2 linked regions of the Drosophila melanogaster genome follow. The protein of the gene in region 2 interacts with the protein of the main gene of each other region in a pairwise test. Each region holds a gene or a part of one and is shown on either strand. Other genes may lie near its edges. The genes, in order: CG9624 and CG9300.

The links.
Region 1: the proteins of CG9300 (region 2) and CG9624 interact in a two-hybrid assay, tested with the Drosophila melanogaster proteins (one large-scale study listed by BioGRID).

What each region holds. Positions count from the first base shown.
Region 1 is NT_033777.3:14,224,439-14,232,402, reverse strand, and holds CG9624 (uncharacterized protein), read left to right. Parts: upstream 1-3,257; 5' UTR 3,258-3,333; coding exon 3,334-4,203; 3' UTR 4,204-4,385; downstream 4,386-7,964. Other genes in the region: CG9631 (uncharacterized protein), read left to right, coding at 5,687-5,893, 5,967-6,138, 6,282-7,222.
Region 2 is NT_037436.4:19,548,832-19,558,301, forward strand, and holds CG9300 (uncharacterized protein), read left to right. Parts: upstream 1-3,588; 5' UTR 3,589-3,644; coding exon 3,645-3,776; intron 3,777-3,834; coding exon 3,835-3,999; intron 4,000-4,053; coding exon 4,054-4,417; intron 4,418-4,497; coding exon 4,498-5,858; 3' UTR 5,859-5,936; downstream 5,937-9,470. Other genes in the region: Ltn1 (listerin E3 ubiquitin protein ligase 1), read right to left, coding at 1-1,140, 1,199-2,240, 2,297-2,476, 2,534-3,327, 3,389-3,436.

The sequences.
Region 1 (7,964 bases), on a different chromosome or scaffold from region 2:
AGCTTTGACTGCACCCAAGGGAAATCGTAATCAGCAGTTGGGTCGAATTCGAAATTGCATTCATTAGACGGCTGTGGCTTCGAGGGAAAATTGAATGTCAAGTGCAGGACGAGGAAAATTTAAGGCGACTGCCACTCCATGGCAGTCTGCAGCCAAAAACAAGAAGAGGAATAAGACCAGGAATAAGACGATCCGATGGAATGCCTTGCGATGCAGACAAAATGCGCAAATTGGTTTCACTTGACAGGGCAAGCGTGAAAACGATGTTGTACTAGTCCTGCTCGACGCTTTTCCCGCTCGACTTGAGCCGGAAAACTTGGCCCAAGTTGCGGCAAACTTTGTGACCGTTTTGCACACGTTGCGCATTCGCCGCGTACGCCGACGCGCCCACATGGCGTATGACAAATGTGCCCTCAGCTGATTCGCAAATCGCTGGGCACGACACTAGCCATTAGAATAGATTAGAGCATCTGGGGATTTGGGACAAACCTGGTAAGCAGCACTCAGCACCCAAGGTGTTTGCAATTGCTTTGTCAGCCTCCACTATTATTGCGGTCTGTTTGCGCTGCCCTCTGGTGTCATAATAATTAAATGGAATTAATGCCTGGCCGGCCAGAAATTCATCACTCCAACCATCTATTGCTGCTATTGCTACACTGCGAAAAATGTATTGGCTTTGATGCCCTTTTATGATTTAATAAGCATATATTTATGATGCAATCTTAATAATGTTTCTTGGAATCAAGTTTAAACGAAAATCATGTTCTCTTTAGTTATAGTAAGATATTCTTTAGATTAGAAAGTTGAAAGGTCTTGTTTATGGGACAGTTTTTTCTCGGTGTTGTGGTGCGTGCCGCATTCGCTTTGTTATTTGAGGTGGCAGACTCATTTGTAAGCCAGTCCAGGTTCCCAGACCGAGGGAATCTCTTGAGGTGCCTTGAGCCAGCGCTTTGTTCGTAGGTTTTGTTTTGCTTATGAATACCCGGCCTTGAACTGAAATAAAGAAGCTGTCGTCCGACTTTCACTTCACTCGCACAATATGAATGTGGGTGTTTTCGGAAAATGTTCAAGGAACCATTCCATACATGTCCAACTACCCACGCAAATGTGTACGAATTTATGTTCTTAGTCCGCTGCCCAATTTTCGGATCAAAATAACAATAATTGAATATTTAAGTTGCTACTTTGAAATATATATTTATCAACACCTGACAAAAAACAGATTTTAAATAATAAATATTCTTTTTTATTGGTGCTGTCAAAACGGAGGATTGCGAAACAAAAGAAATTCTGCGCATATTATATTTTCACAATTTTAAAACTTTCCCAATTGTAAAATAATAGTCAATTTCGTTTTCTTATGAGCTGCTATAGCTAACAACTTGCATAAAAGATATCAACGACGAGAACATTGCACCAGTGTTTTTCGATGATTGATGGATGAACAGCACTGCATCAATCATATTTTTTTCACACTCTAGTGATAATTTAATTCATATTCAATAGTCTGATGGTGGCAAGTTTAAAAAGTCCCTTTACTTGCCTTCATATTCAAGCATTCCCTTTTGAGACGCTGAATTCCGCGTATCTATTTTTCTGGCAAAAAAATTCTGTAAGGCTTTTATTTATGTAGAGAACCTCAAACCGCAGAACGGGTTCAAAGTGCATCTACTGGAAGTTCCTGTGGCCTTTTCTCTGCGGTGTGCCAACTCAAATGCATAGCCAAAAAAAAAAAAATAATAAAAAAAATGACTCCAGTTTTACGCTCGAGTTTTGTGTATATTTTCCGTTTGATGTTGGGGCTGCTTTTCCATTTGTCGAATGCTTAAAGCCATTTGAAAATGATTGGCTTTTATGTCAATAAGCGTCTCAGTTGTCCTTACTTGTTTCAGTTTTTCTTTTGCATGGCTTTTTCCTTGACTTTTTTTAATACAGCTGACTTCGCTTTTTCTTTCGGTTTTTGCTCTCGCGGTTTTCTCTTACAGTCTGACGCTTAAGTGCCCCAATAAAACACAATAAATATACACATAAATTTTTATACACATCCCGCATATAGAGGACAACTTTTTTTTGTGGCCAGAGAGCTGGAAAAAGTCGTCGCGTTTTGATAGATGAAACGAAATAAAAAGTAAAACAAATACGGTGTTTTTAGCTCCCGGTCACTTATGGCTTTAAATTTTCCAGCGAAAGCAAAATTAAATTTTGAAAATTAGAAGGCAACTAAGGCTAACCGGATGCGATAAATCATCGTGGTAAAATTAAAATCGTGGGTTCGAATCAAAATTTCGCACTGGCGCTGAATATTAAAACAATAAGTGTTTGAACATCGAGGCGTAAAATAGGCATTCGTCACTCGGTTTTCGGTGCACCGACATAAATCTAAATTCAAACCTTTTGTGGATTGGATTTTTGCTAGGTGCCTTCGATTTGTAAGCCCACTGATTGTGTTCAACGTGGCACGAACAATTGATTTATGAAAATTTATTGCTCACATGCGGAGGACCAAAAACCAGGCGCCCGAGCGCCCTGCGATAGGCAACACTTTGTGTTTGAAATTAAAGCTGCCACGCCGCGAGCAATAAAAGCAAAGCCATAAAAGCTAATGAGCCCGAAAACTCGTCACCGTTGTCACAGCCATTTCCCCTTCGGATCTGCCACGCCCTCCTTAAACTAATATATATGTATGTATGTTCGAACTGGGGCATAATGAAAATCGCGGCCATCTTGTTGCGCCTGCATTCCGTCATAAAATCCTGTTTCACCTCACTGTTTCAGCTCATAAAATAATGGCGATCGTCGGCTACCGTGAATATACGGCATGGAATGTCGTAAAATTTACGCAAATTGTTGTTGCCGATTCCCGATGAGAATACTTACTTACCGTTATTGCCTGTGAGTGCGCATAAATTTGGCAACAAATGCAAACAAACAAGTTTAGCTATAGAAAAATGTGGGAGGGCTTTGTTATTAGGGGGCGTGCCAGTAGCTGATTTATTTCGCTGATAGGAAGGGATGTGCTTTCACTGCTGCGAATTTTTTGAAAAAAGATAATAAGCATATATACATTTTATAAATTTTAATTCTTATTTTAAGCTACGAAACTAAAGACTCTGTAAACATGTTAATATACGTAAAAATCTGTTGAAATAATGTATATTAAGTTTTGGGCTGAAATTAAGAAATCCAAATATTTCTAGGTGTATTTTAATGTAGATGCCAGCAGATTTGTGTCACCCTATTAAGCATTTGATAGCGAGGCAACGGAAATTCTGCCATAGACACACATTTGCTAGCCAGGCCAAATTACATGAATAGAAATTCCAAGTACCCAAAATGAATACCTCCGAAGTCAAACGAACGCTGGGTAGCCCCTTCTTCGACGTGCTATGGCCATTGATCCTGGACGAGAATGTCTGTCGCATCGAGACCAAGCCGGACGAATTCTTTGTGCCCCGGCAGCCCTTCAATCGACTGGATTGGCATATCTATCTGTCCCAGGTGGGCTTTCCTTTCTACATGCCGCCACATGAGCTGCGCTGCTGCAAAGGAGCCCAAAGGGAGGAGATCGAGAACGAGGATGCTGAGAATGCCTTAAACCAGGAGGTGGAGGAGCGAACGGCGTCGAATCAGGTGGACTTTCTGCGCCATGGATCCCGGGACATTAGACCCATAGATGAGGTGGTAAACAAACTGAGGATGGAGCAGGAGCGTCGCCAGAAGTTGGCGTACGACTTTGCCAATCGGCGCTATCCTTGGACCATGCAAACTCCCAGTCACGAACTGGGCTTCACCATCACTGAGGAGCTGCAGAAGTGCTTCAAGGGACCCATGGAGCTGGACATCTTGAGGGCCATTCATGATCACGACTGCAAGCTAATGATTATCGATCTGGGCACTGATGTGGACATTAAGGACTGCCAGCGCTGGATAAAGTTTCGTCCATATATTCAGTTACTGGCATTGCCTCGAACACCTCGCATGGAACGATCGCTTCAGGTGCTCAATGTCTTCCACACGTATTTGGTGGAAGAATCGGCTGATAACTCATGGCACGATGAGGTGCAATACTCCCTTCGCACAGCTTTTGTGCACGCACAGAAAAATCAGCTCCTTAAGTCCTGCGGAGAGCCATTTGTCTTCGTATTTAGTCGTTTTCGTGGCATCTGCACCTGCGATACCTATAAGATAATCCGACGGGCATAGAACAAATTCTTTCAATTAATTTCCATCAGCAGTTATTAGCAAATGCCAACTGAAGTTGCTATAGACAAGTAATTATTTATTGCTTTTAAAAAAATTTCAAAATGTAAAAAAAATCTCAAGTTTACACAAGATTATATATATTACATGCAATAAATCGAATTTAAACATCATAACATCTGTTTTAGCCCAGTTTAATACTTATTCACGTCGCCTAATTTGATACGACTTGATTTGCTCCGCCCGGCCGTTCAAGCCATCATGTTGAAGTGGCGCCCGAACAGGAACCGCTTCAATTAGGCCGCCCAATTGGAGCTGCCTTCAAGTGCAGTCAGACGCACGCTACCTGCCACTTGCCACCCGATTATTGACGCAGGCGGAAGCCTGCACCACCATTTTCCGATGTGTTGTCAAAGTGCCTCCGCTAAGTTGGCAGACTTGAGCCCACGGCACAATTCACAACAAGTTTGTTTGCGAAAAAGAAACGAAATCGAAAAATTTCGCACCAAATCTCAACAAATTATTACAAAGCTTAACAAACTTGAAACTGATTATAAAAGTTGCCGGCAGGCAGTTGGGGCAAATTGGGGGACCGGCGGCCACAATGCAGCAAAATTGAGTTGCGGGTATCGTGAAGTTAGGAGCACTTCCCCTCATTCTCTACGGGCTTCCTTTTTGTTTTGTTGGAAAAAGTTTTTTTTGGCCAAATGCGTTGTCGCTATAAACGTCGACCCACAAACATAATTTTCAATAGAAATTCACATAAGCCACCTTGCCACGCCTGATAATAGCTTTGAGCAAAACTTACGCGATTTTTAAGAGGAGCCGCCACAGATCTTGAAAATGTAAAAAGTCAGTAGAAGTATAGAAAAATAAATTTAAAAAGTAATACTTTTCTTATCAGTTCGTAAATGTTTCTTATAGCATCAAAAACAAATTGCCCAAACAAATAAGATAAATTAAAGAGTACTTGTGCTTTAAAAGCCAATGCTAGCTGTTTAAATTTTAAATTGCTGTCAGGCGTAAACTAAGCCACAAAAAGTTGTGTTTTACAACAGTTCTCGATTGATACTGAACAGTTTTTTGCTATAAAAATTGAGCAAGATCAGAAAAAGAGAAGAAAATATTTCTTCAGTTAGCTACGAGCATATCATATATATACGAGTACATACAGTGGGTTTGTAAAACAAGTCACATGTTTACTTAGATGGGGATTTTTCTCTCAACAGTAGCTCCTCTGTTAAATAGTTCCGTGGAGAACCAGGTTCTTAAATAGCTGTTAGTTAGTTGAATGATTAAAAATAGTACTAAGCCGAAGACTTGATATGGCTGGGAATAACCAGTGATCACTCAATGGGGGTGCTCCGCAATCTGGCGAGAGATCAGCTGTTACATGGAGAGGGAGTGCATCGATAGTCGCTTGTGGATTCCGATTTCGATCCCAGTTCTCATTCAGTTCCATTCAGCATTGGTTGTTACCGTCGCAATGACAATCTTGTGGCTGACCTTGCTGGGCCTTTGTCTCAATCTGAAACTCGGGTCGGCGTTGCACGTGCCGCAGCATAATTGTGAGAGGTATTTCTCCTACTACAAAGAGGACAGTGGAGCCTACATTGGCGTCTTCACGGCGCCACGCGCTGGTGTGAACAGCCTATCATGGGAGGTGGTTTTCACTGCTCACGGAACTGGTGAGGTAAAGCCCTAACAAATTACATATATATTTGTTTATTTCAACTGATTCAACATTCTGATATCCCCCCATGCAGGCAAACACTGTGGGCTCACTCATTCCGTATCCCAATAAGGAAAGGGCCTTTGAAAAGATACACAGCGGAGAACGTGGCGAGGTGTTTGTGCGTTTCACGGATTTTGGAAACGAGCTGCCCAAACTTGTCCGGGCGGAATTCAACGGCGAGGTTCTGTGTCAAAATGAGGAGTGTGAGTAATAATAAAACTAGATAGAATATCTTTAGTTAAATTACTTTGAAATAATTATTGTTACCCTAAAGATATTCTATATAGTAGATGATCTCATATAGTTGATGATAATTTTCTCATATCTTTCTTTTTACTTTGTGCAGATGATGCCCCTTCAAGCACAATGACCCGACGCCAGTCCATGTCCACCTCAACGCCAATTAGTCAAAAGTCAGCACCAAGAGAAATAGTGCGTCAGCGGCGTCCGCCGCCGAGCACACCGAGCAATGACCCCAATCCTTTCCTTCCTTCAATCATGCCCAGAATAGATTCGGACTTTGAGGAATGCGGCGTTGAGGGCTTTTCGCCTCTTCAAATCGGAGGCGACCTGGTGACCCGCGGTCAGTACCCCTGGCTCGCGGCCCTTTACGAAGGTGTTGGCACGGCTACATACAAATGCGTGGTGTCGGTTATCTCCAAACGGACTGTGATCACGGCAGCTCACTGCATTTATGGAAAGAGCGCCAGCCAGCTTTGGGTCTATTTGGGCAGGCATGATCGCAACGAGAATCCTGAGAATGGAGCCTCCCTGGTTAGCGTGACCAGCGTGCTGACTCCGTCCGCCTACGAGGGCAATCCAGTTCCGGATGCGGACGTTGGTCTGCTGGTGCTGACCTCTCCGATGGTGTACACCAAGTACATTCGACCCCTCTGCCTTTGGGGCTCCAATATGGGATTGCCACCGAATGAGGGCGATACTGGAGCAGTAGCCGGTTGGGGCTACGACAGGAGTGCCCAGAAGACGCGGTTTCCCAAGACAGTGAGTGTTCGATTGGTGCCCCGGGATCAGTGTCTCAAGGAGATGAAGCGGGCGGAGGACTTCATCACGCGGCGGACCGTCTGTGCCGGCAATTCAGAATCACATGGTCCCTGCTTCGGAGACTCGGGATCTGCTCTGATCGTCCTGCGTAACAATCGATGGTACGTTCGTGGTGTGGTCTCTTTATCGCCTCGCCACGGAGAGATTTGCGACCTTAGCAAGTATGTTATCTATTGCGATGTTGCACGGCACATTGACTGGGTACGTCAAAATATGGTCATGTGAGGCGCTGAAATAATTATAATGTGACAATACAGGAAAACACGGAAATTTATGTACAAAATTCTCAATAAATCTTTAAGTCGTATAATAGATTACCTTTTCCTAGTCGGTGGATTTCCCAAGCATGCATTGGTGCCAACAATCTATTAAGTGTATACTTTGCGCTAAAATAAAACCCTTGCTTTAAGCCTATGACTTAAAGTGCAGATGTTTGCAATCATTGATTACAAATTTTCTAAAGAGAGGAATAGATTATTAGTGCTTTTGGAATTCGATTTAAACAAGTGAGAGCTCATCAGAGAGTAATAATAATAAGAACTATAAACAAATAAGGCTGTATGTCAGATCTCTTGTTAATAATACTTTTGACTCAAGAGCAAGAAAATCAGTTGTGAGCAACAGCAGGGTTTTGACTCACTAGCTTATCAGTAAAGATAAATGTAATTTTTAATTTCTTTAGTCGTATTAGCACCTTATCAATTAACACATTCGATCAGTGTTAGCCCATCCATGTTGAGAATAGTAATTCGATCTATGATCATAAGCTTAAAATTAAATTGATGATAATTTGTAAACTCTTTGTATTGAAGCTCTTGTTTTGTTTATACGAATTAGTCAAAGATTACTAGAGAGGGGATTTTCGCTCAAAACACAGAAGGCAGATGGCTTCTAGACATTTGATTACGAGGTACCAAGGGTATATCCACTTAAAAACAACGATTTTAAGCAATATTATAGACAATTG
Region 2 (9,470 bases):
TTGCTGAAGACGCTCCTTTACTATTGCAACCAGATCGCTGCTGTTGCCCATAAAGCTTTGCACTTTCTCCGAAAGGATCAACACTAACTCCTCTGTCGACGATTGCAAGACTGACATTTCCAGCCAGCATTCTGCTGTTCCAGCCACTCGAATGCACTGTAAAAGCTCTGCAATTAAGGGTTCGTTCCATTTTTTGAGCACATCAGCATTTGGATCACAATAGTCCTCGGTCAACTCATCCTCTGGGTCGTTGGTGTCTTGAGGTGGTGGGAATTGATAGACGAGCTTGTAGATTGTAGAAAAGTTGAGTGTGGAACGTTGAAGCAATGGTAGTATTTCATTTCTTGAGAGGCAAGCATTTTCGAACGGAACTCCCGCAGTCACAGATCCGTGCAAGGCTTCTAGGAGTACACAATGGTTCTCAAACTGTTGAACCTTGTCAGTCGTTTTTAGGGGCGTTTCCAGAAGAGCAGTTAATGTTTCATCGATTCGCTCCAAGCGCTTATACTCATCTTCAATATTTTCCGTTGAGCAAATAACAAACTTGGCCATCGCCTCTGCCATTCCATCCAAAGTATCCGCTTTAAGTTCTGCTGAATTTGCCAATTCCTCAACAATCCCTGCGCAACACTTTAGCATGTCATCATCGATTTCGATATCTTTGCTAGAAAGTCCATCCTGCCAGCAAGTGGTAATTTCCCACAGAGTATCCTCCGACAGATAATCCTCTGGTCGGTGCTCCAAACTAAATTTGAACAGTTTGAGGAAGATGTGTTGGCGCACGTGCAGCGAAGAGTTATTGTTGCTGCAAATCACAGGCATTATCTGGGCAATAAAACTGCCACACACTTCCACCGCGTCATCGACAACCGGTTGCTCCAAGGGTCCGCACATGGACAGCAGTATTTTATCCACAGTTTTAGCATTAATGAGTATGTCTCCCGTGTCAGTTTGGAAAAAACACTTGTGAAGCAAGTTCAGCTTCTCCCGATCATTGTCTACAACAACCTCCTCAGCTATCCGCGCAATCATTTCACAAGTTTCCGGACCACTTAGCATTTGCCTCACGGCGGCCTCGGCGCATAGGGGATATGATAGTAGACGATGCAGCAAAAGATTTTGCACGCCATGTTGTGGAAGCTGTAAAGAATAATAATAATTTAATATTTTTTTTATACACTTTAAAATTGGTAACTACCTTCATGAGAGTGTTTTCAATATATTCAAAGCGTTTTCCAGTCTCTAGCAGCGGCAGGATTTCAAACACGATCTCCACCACAGATTCACAGGCCTGACAACTTAGTTGACCTAGCAGTGACACAAATTTATTTAACGCCGACGCAAGGTCTCCATCATCAGTTAAACTTTTGTAGAACGCGGCATCGTTAAACATTTTTGTAAGCGTTCGAATTTGTTCGATGTAACGCGAGCTCGAAGTACCACTCCCACTGCCTTTGTTGGCCTTATCCAGGCATATGCGCACTAACTTTATAACCAACTGCTTCAATTCCTTTTGTATAAAAGCAGCAGCTTCTTGAGCCTTTTTAACTGGTGTTGTGGGTTCGCTCTTCTCGATCTTTTCGTTTGGCCCCTCGACAAACTTCACACTCGGCGACTCCAGGCTAGGATTAGCCATATGCAGATCCTGCACTAAAAGCAAGACATGTCCGAGCAGTTGCTCATTCACCTCCTCGGCCGATAGGTCTTGTGTGACCAGCTCAAAGATGCGTATCCAGAACTTGTTCAGCAATTTGGCATAAAGGTCACCATTATCCAATCTATTATTAATCTGACGATCCCAGAAGGCCACCAGGGCTGAACTGTGCTGGAAGAAAATTTTTACATGCGTGCTATCGCTTTTGAGCAGCCAGGCAATGGGTTCAAGTACGTTGTTATCGAGTAGGCTAAAGGAAAATTCCTCCTCCTTCTGCTCTCGCTGTTTGTTGTTGTTAATCTGCTGCATCAAGAAGCGTAGGCACTCAAAATATGCATTATGTATCACAATACAATCGGATTTGGAAAGCGGAGGATCGAATTTCTTAGTGACTGCCAGCTTCATGTCGTCAAAGAAGCGCTGATAGAAATCGTAGATATCCAGGTCTTGAAGGGATGCTTGTGTAACTTTCGACAAAAATGGCAGCAGATTGGGACAGATGGCCTGGGCGTTGCGATTGAAACCATTTTGGAGCAAAGACGAAAGTTTGGGGAGAAGTGTCTTGCGAATGTTCAGTGGAACGAACCTACAAATATTAAACTTTATTATTGGAATTCACTTATAGTAGATCCTAGGTCTTACCAATCTACGTAGTTACTTTGTAGGAGCAGAACGCACCCCCAAATGTGGGGAGCCACCACGGGATCTGCATCGTCAATAAACTGAAAGCAGAGGTTAGTCAGCTGCGTCTTCTGAGGCGTGATCACATCCAAAAGTGCAACCGATTGCAGGATGTGATATATGCACTCGAACCAGGCGGCTCTATAAAATGTGAAACAGAAATTAAATACATGGTAAATGACTTGTCTGTTTACTTACTTAATGGCAGGCACTTTATGCTTGGCGAAGCTCCAGAACTTCTGGTGTGCCACCAGGGTGCCGAAGCCCTCCTTGACCTGGCTGAGCTCCTCCGTCTGCGCAGTTTGCCCCATGAAAAAGGACAACAGCTTGAGACTACTGATGATAACGCGCTGGTACTTCTGTTCCGCATCCTCCGGAGTGAGACTTTTCCCAATCGACAGAGTAGCGGCTGTGTGGAAGGTCAGGTTACGTGTGGCGTACTCGAGAATCTCCACCTGACAGTGCATGCAGACTTCCCGAGATCGGTTGGCGTTGCCAGCAAAGGTGTCTCGAAAGGATTGGCTCGCAATACTGGCCGCCGGAGCGTAGGTATCAAATCGGCTGCCCAGCCAAACGGGCACAAGTAACTTTAGATATGGAGCCATCGCCTTTTTACACTTGGCCATGAGCAACTGCAGCACAGTCTGTGTCTGTTCGCGAACAGTGTGCTCCGGATCGCTAGCCAGATTGAGGTAGTACTTGGGCCACAGAGGCAGAATGTTCTTGAGGACCTCCACGTCAGACTGCTCGATCAGTTCGTGTAGCTCCTGCAGCGCCTTCTTCTTCGTCATTGGATCCTTTTTGGACAGCTTTCGAAGGATGATCTGCGTTTGCGGACTGATGGCCGCATCAAAGCTGTCCGGCATTTGTTCGGCGCTGGCGAATCCCGGAGCAAATGGCACCAGGCCACCGCCGTCCGTCTGCGCCGAGAATCCCACGAATATGGGCGTGGAACTGCCCAGCAGCTCGGCTGTTCGGCTGCTGCTCGAGGGCTGGATGATGGGGGGTCGAGGGCACGGTTAAATAACATATTAATACCTTACTACGCCTTACCTTGGCATTATTTTTGGTGCGCGGCGCTTGTTTTGTCTTTCCACCCATTTCTCTCTTCTTCTTCTGTCTCTTCCTCTTATCGATAGCACGTGGCAGGTCCGGCAACCATTTGTGTTCGTATTTCGCAGAGGTCTGGCAGCCTTACTGTCGGTATTTTAAATACCAAAACACTGATTTCAATGGCACGAATCGCCCTGTGGTTTAGTTTTGGATGCCGCTTTGCACGTGCTGCAATTGTTTTCAATTCAATTAAATAATGTCCAAATTCCTGTCCTACTACAACCTGTTTCCCATCCCCGACCCCAAGGAGTTTCTGGGCCTAGCTGCAGACAGGGAAAATGGCAATGTGGTGACTACGTTGGCGCGCAACGTGGTGGTTGTTTTGAACGTGCGTTTGGACACCAAAATATCAAAATGCCCATGTAACAAACGCGATTTCCTTATAGATCAGCACACAAAAGCAGTTGCTCAGTTGGTCCCTGCCGGAGAAGCTTTCCTCCAAGGTTATATACGATCCCAGCAGCCAGAAGTATGTGGGCGTCTTTGGAAATCACGCGCTGCGTCTTTGGGATGTGGACACCAGTGATGTGTCCAAGTGCAAGAAGCTGAAGGTATGGGCAGCTAAAATTCAGCATATAATTGTGGATAATACGCTTTCCTTACAGTTTCAGAAAAGCATCGCTCACGTGGTGGCAACCGAACAGGAGGCATTAATCCTCTACAGCGATGGCGAGTGCCAAACCCTTTCCCAGGCATTGGCTTCGAGAAAGGACCAGAAGGAGGATACGGCTGAGCAACTGGCCCTAGCCGCCAGCAAGGTCATCAGCAAGCCCACAGTCCACGCATTGGCCCAGGGCCAGCAGGTGCTCACATATTTCGAGGAAACAAAGGCCACCGGCGAAATGCAGCTTATCCGCCTCTCCCTGGACACGGCTGACCGGCGGAAGTACCTCATTAAGCGGGAAGAGGTTCGCCTCACGGGATATGCTGTCGTCGAGGGCGATGCAGATCCTCAGTTGCTGACCATTTGTAAGTAACTTTAGTTATATCAGTGTGAGGAATGAGTTTTGATGTAAGAACGAAAACTATAAATTTATTTAATTTTACAGGGTCTGATAAACGCATCTTCATGCTTAACCTGGCGGAGGCCACATCAGAGCGATCCCCTGGACAATTCGTATCTATGCTGGCCGAGCTGAATGTGGAGAGCAAGCTATCCGTGCACGGAGTCTCACGAAACTTTGCTGCCATCTACGGCGCCAACTATGGGCAGGAAGGCGCCTCTCTGTTGGTTTATAACACTCAGTTTAAGGTGGTGAACGCGAAGCAGTACTTTAAAGTGTACCTGGACTTCTCTCGCCTTTGGGCCGGGAATGAGCACATCCTTTTGGCCATGGGGCATAATATAGCGGCGGTCCGTTACCGAATGAACCGGGAGGTGCTGGTGGACATGTTGGGCTCTCAGTTTAGTGATACTCACCTCTCGCCTATTGAATTGGATCACATAAACGAGGAGGAGTATCTGGAGTCGCTTATTAAGTTTGATGGTAGTACGAAACCCTTAAATTATAGAGCTGTGAAATCCCAGTTAAATAAGCAGATGCCCAACTTGGACTACCAAAAAGCTGATGGCCGGGAGTTGGCTTACGATCCTCCCGAGGTAGTGGATCAAGAGATCGACGAAATTATCAAACAGCATGTTCATGGAGAGGCGACCATTTGCGAGAATGGGCTGGAGGACGTGAGTGTCACTCTAATGACGAACTTCTTTGACAAGGGGCCGAATAATACAGCTGTGCAGGCTTTAGTCCGGCAGCTGGAGAGAAGTGGAGCTGGGGAAGAGGAAATCATCGAAAGGATTCTCACACTTTTCATCAAGACCGACAACACAGAGCATGTCCTGATGTGTCTTAGGCGCTACAGCAACATATCGGAGAGAATGCTGGCCTGGTCACTGCGCTATGCTCTAGATAAATGCAAGCCTCGTCATGCTATTAATGGCGATTCCAACGCTGTACCAACGGCTAAGAGTTACTCCAACAAGGAACTGCTAAATGCAGTGCTAGCCTGCAGATTTGATGCCACCGGCATCGAGGAGCATCTGCGTTACCGACTGGAGCTCTCCCATGTCCAGCACTTGATGAGCCACCTGTTCGATCTGGTCAATGACCCCAATGTCCAGTTGGAGGAACGACCCAGCCTGAATTGCTCGCCAATTCAAACGGAAGTACAGGCCATCCAGTGGTTTGGCTGCATCTTGACCTCCCATTTCACCCTGCTGATTATTTCCAAGGACGAGGCATTGCTCGAGACTCTCTCCGAATGGGCCACTTTCCTCTCCTTCTACGAAGAAAGTTTATTCGATTTAGCCAATTTGCTGCCGCTGCTCACAAATATTGTGGAGAAACGTCAGGTGAAACCGATGTACTCTACAAATTGGTATGGGATTGAGGAGGTGGTGCTCTACTAGAAAAATAATAAAGGTCTTTAGTGTTTCCTTAAGTTTGTTTTTTACTGAATAAGCCAAATAAACCTAGAATTAACTTTTATTTATATTGATTGTATTCAATCTTATTCATGATAGGTGTTACTATTATCTTTTACACAATAGTATTGTGTGATTTATTAGTCAGAAGATGGCAATGAGCTTTTCATGGAATCCATATACGGCGAAACAAATTAAAGTTTTGTTTGCACAAAATCTTTAAATTCGGGATTTCTACCTTTTGTAAAACGTACACATATCACTCAGTTTTTTCTTATTGAAGTTCAGATTTATTTGGTAATGATCGGACGGATGGCCGAATTAACACAGCTTCATGTTTACCATGAAAGTTGCCGACTCTATAAAGTATATTTATTCTTGATCGGAATTACCAGTCGATGTCCGTCCCGTCTAGAAAGTTAAGGTGAAGAATGTAGATTTTAGTACTGTCAATCCCACAGAACGCCCAAACCTACCAAAGCGACCACACTTGAAAAAAAATATTTGAAATTATGCAATATTTTTTATTGTTTGTTTGTTGGTCACGCTAACAAACAGCAACTGCAAGTTGTCACTCTCAATTCCTAAAAATCATTTGATATTTTTCTTTTATTATTTTTTACCAATATATAAATAGGTAAAGTTATATCAAGAGAACTTTTAAAATTCTCCCTGCCCACTATATGTGTGTTTATATGTATACCTTAGGCCATATGTTTTTTTTTTTTTATTTTCTTATGTACGAATCCAGTTCTAAGGCCGATATTATTTTAACCTTAATAGTTCAAGTTTAATAAAATTTGAACAATAAGACAAACGAACAATTTTCATATGAAAATATAGTTAAAAAGAATGCACTGAATGTTTCGAGACATTTAGTTTGGCACAAACATTTTGCAAATGCGTACAGGATGAAAATTTTCAGTAAACAAAACAGCTTCTAAATCGAGTGACAGTTGAGTAAGATTTAGTGACTAGATGAAATGTCTTCAACGTTTCGCAGAGTATACCTATATATATACAACTTTAAGCCACATCCAAATGACCACAAAGTATCTTGGCCATTATCAAAACTGTACCAGCTGCCTGGTAAAATTAAGCCGAAAACTTTTCCATCAATCGCAGACGATCCGAGCACAAGCGACCAGAGAGACAAGTCAATTCATTTCCCCTAACAAAAAATCAGTACACCTTTAAAAACTCATATACAAATACATTAGCTTTTTAAATATTTTGATATCGTTTCGAATTAGTTATTTCTATCATTAATTAATAATTTTGCCTTCCTTCCTTTAGCTGTGTAATGAGTATCTGAAAGCCGAGTAGCTTGTAACTGAAAATAGGATGCGTATAATGAGCGTTAGAATCAGTTAATGCAAATTACAAACTTCTTGCTTATAAGCATATATCTTATTATATAAAAGCATAGTTTTACTCAAAGAGTCACCGATTTTTTTCCGTGTTTAAGCCAAGGTCCAGCAACAACCCACTTGGTCCAAGTCCACTGCTTCCTTACCACTTTCTCTGCACCTTTCTTTCGAATCAATCTCGACCCGAATGAGCCACTTGAGAGCGATGACCAGCCAAAAAGCGGCAAAATAATGAGCAAGTCGAGTTGGGGTTTTACAAAAATAGCCCCCCTCCTCGGTTGATTCACTGGCCGTCTTTGATTACGACGAGGGTCAGGGACCACTGGCAGCATCGTTCTTTTTGTGGCACTAGAACTGTGGCTATTCAAATCACCGGCAAGCCGAAGTCATCGCAATGGATGTGGGCTTTTGTTCTGGCAGCATTTCTCCTGATTGTAAGCCGGAGATTTATCGCGTGCTGGATGGGAACGGGGGGCATCAAAACCTGCTTGTAACGTCATAAAATCGAGATAAATTATTTAATTTTCGATTTCCTAAAACCATTAAGCAATGGCAGAAGAGCCCGACGCCTAGCTACCCCATAACCAAGAGCAAGATGCCGAGTCATACCAGGAGAGACAATCACAATCTGCTGGCCCTTATATAAAGTGTGTATATGTATATGTACACATATAGACGTGTATACCTGAACATAATGATGGTTCGCTGCCGATGCTGCGCTGCCTCCGCTGACCGCTGGCTGCTGCATCCACTGCAGAGACGAAGGATGTGGATAGGGCATAGGCACACATGCATACGCCTACCTGGACACAGGTAGCTCGGCCTCCGCAGGTAAGCAAGTCTTTGGCCCGGCAAACACTGCCGCAGATATGTATGTGCGTCCATACAGATTCCTCTGCTCGTTACTTGTTGCAAACAAGCGCTGAGGACTGAGGAGGGGGGACAGCACCACAGACTCAACCGGCTGCCCCTGCCCCATGCTGGGCACCACCGGCAACATTTAGCAGCGTCATGATCATCAGGGCCCAGGCACTGGGCACTAGGGACTCATGACCAAAGCCAGCCGGACTGGTTAGGGATTTGGCCCGAGATTGGTTTGGCGCTGCAGAGGAAAGATGCAACATCGGTCAGCTTCAGGGCTGCAGCATCATGGTATAAAAAGGAGACTAGTTATCAATTCGGGATATATGTTTCGCTGCTTTTGTTTGTTAATACAAATTAAAATAAAATATATCTTAAAAATATTGCTGTTAAAATATTTTATTAAAGTTTTCACGTACAACAAAAGTCGGTAATTTATTTAATAACCTAAATACTTGCAAAGTAATTTATTTAGCGTTGCTATTCTCTGAACATATATCTTGAACCTGATAAAAAATAATCCTAAAAAAAATAAAATAATAATAAAAGTATTTTTGAGCTAGAAAATGATAATGTTGGTATGAAAACATTATTATATACATATGTATATAAAATATAAAAATTTTCCAAACGAAAAAAGATTCACTAGTGGTAATCACCTGTGAATCGTGGTCCATCCCTGGACCAATTGCAGCTGCCTGTAAGCCAAATCGAGTGACTTGGCACTTGGCATCCTTAGTCCCTTCCTTCGAAATGTTACTTTTTCTGTTGGTTATTTTTTTCTACCCTTCACTCACACACACTCGCCTACAGATGCACCATCTCTGGAGTTGTGCCCACTCTTTCTTTACGTATTCCCCCTTTTTTGTGTGTTTTTGATTTTCTTTTGGAAACGACAAACCGGCCGGCATTATTTTTAGAATTTTCAGTCAAACTTGTTACCAGGCTGGGGCGAAACTGGCTTCGGGGCTGCAACAAAAACAAAAAACAGCCAGCAGCCAGCAAAAATGCAATGATCTTGTTCCCATTCCACGTCTTGTGTCTCTCCCTGTATAACCAAAAAGGTGACTTTGTCTCAGTCCCCCGCCTTATGGCCGCCACACAGCCATATAGCTATATACATACGTATGTATGTAGCCATATGTATCTGGGTATCTTTGTATCTGTGGCTCGGCATTGTTACTGTTCTCTGACTTTTGGTGTCCGAAAACCCGAATGGTGCTCGAAAATTGTATCGATCTTGGCCATTTGCCGGTGGAAGTTTGGGTTTGGGTTCCACAGCCACCTTTTGTGTTCTTCCTCTTTCACGCAGCATCATCATGATCTCGGTGATCATTATAATGCCCATGCCCATGCCAATGCCGAT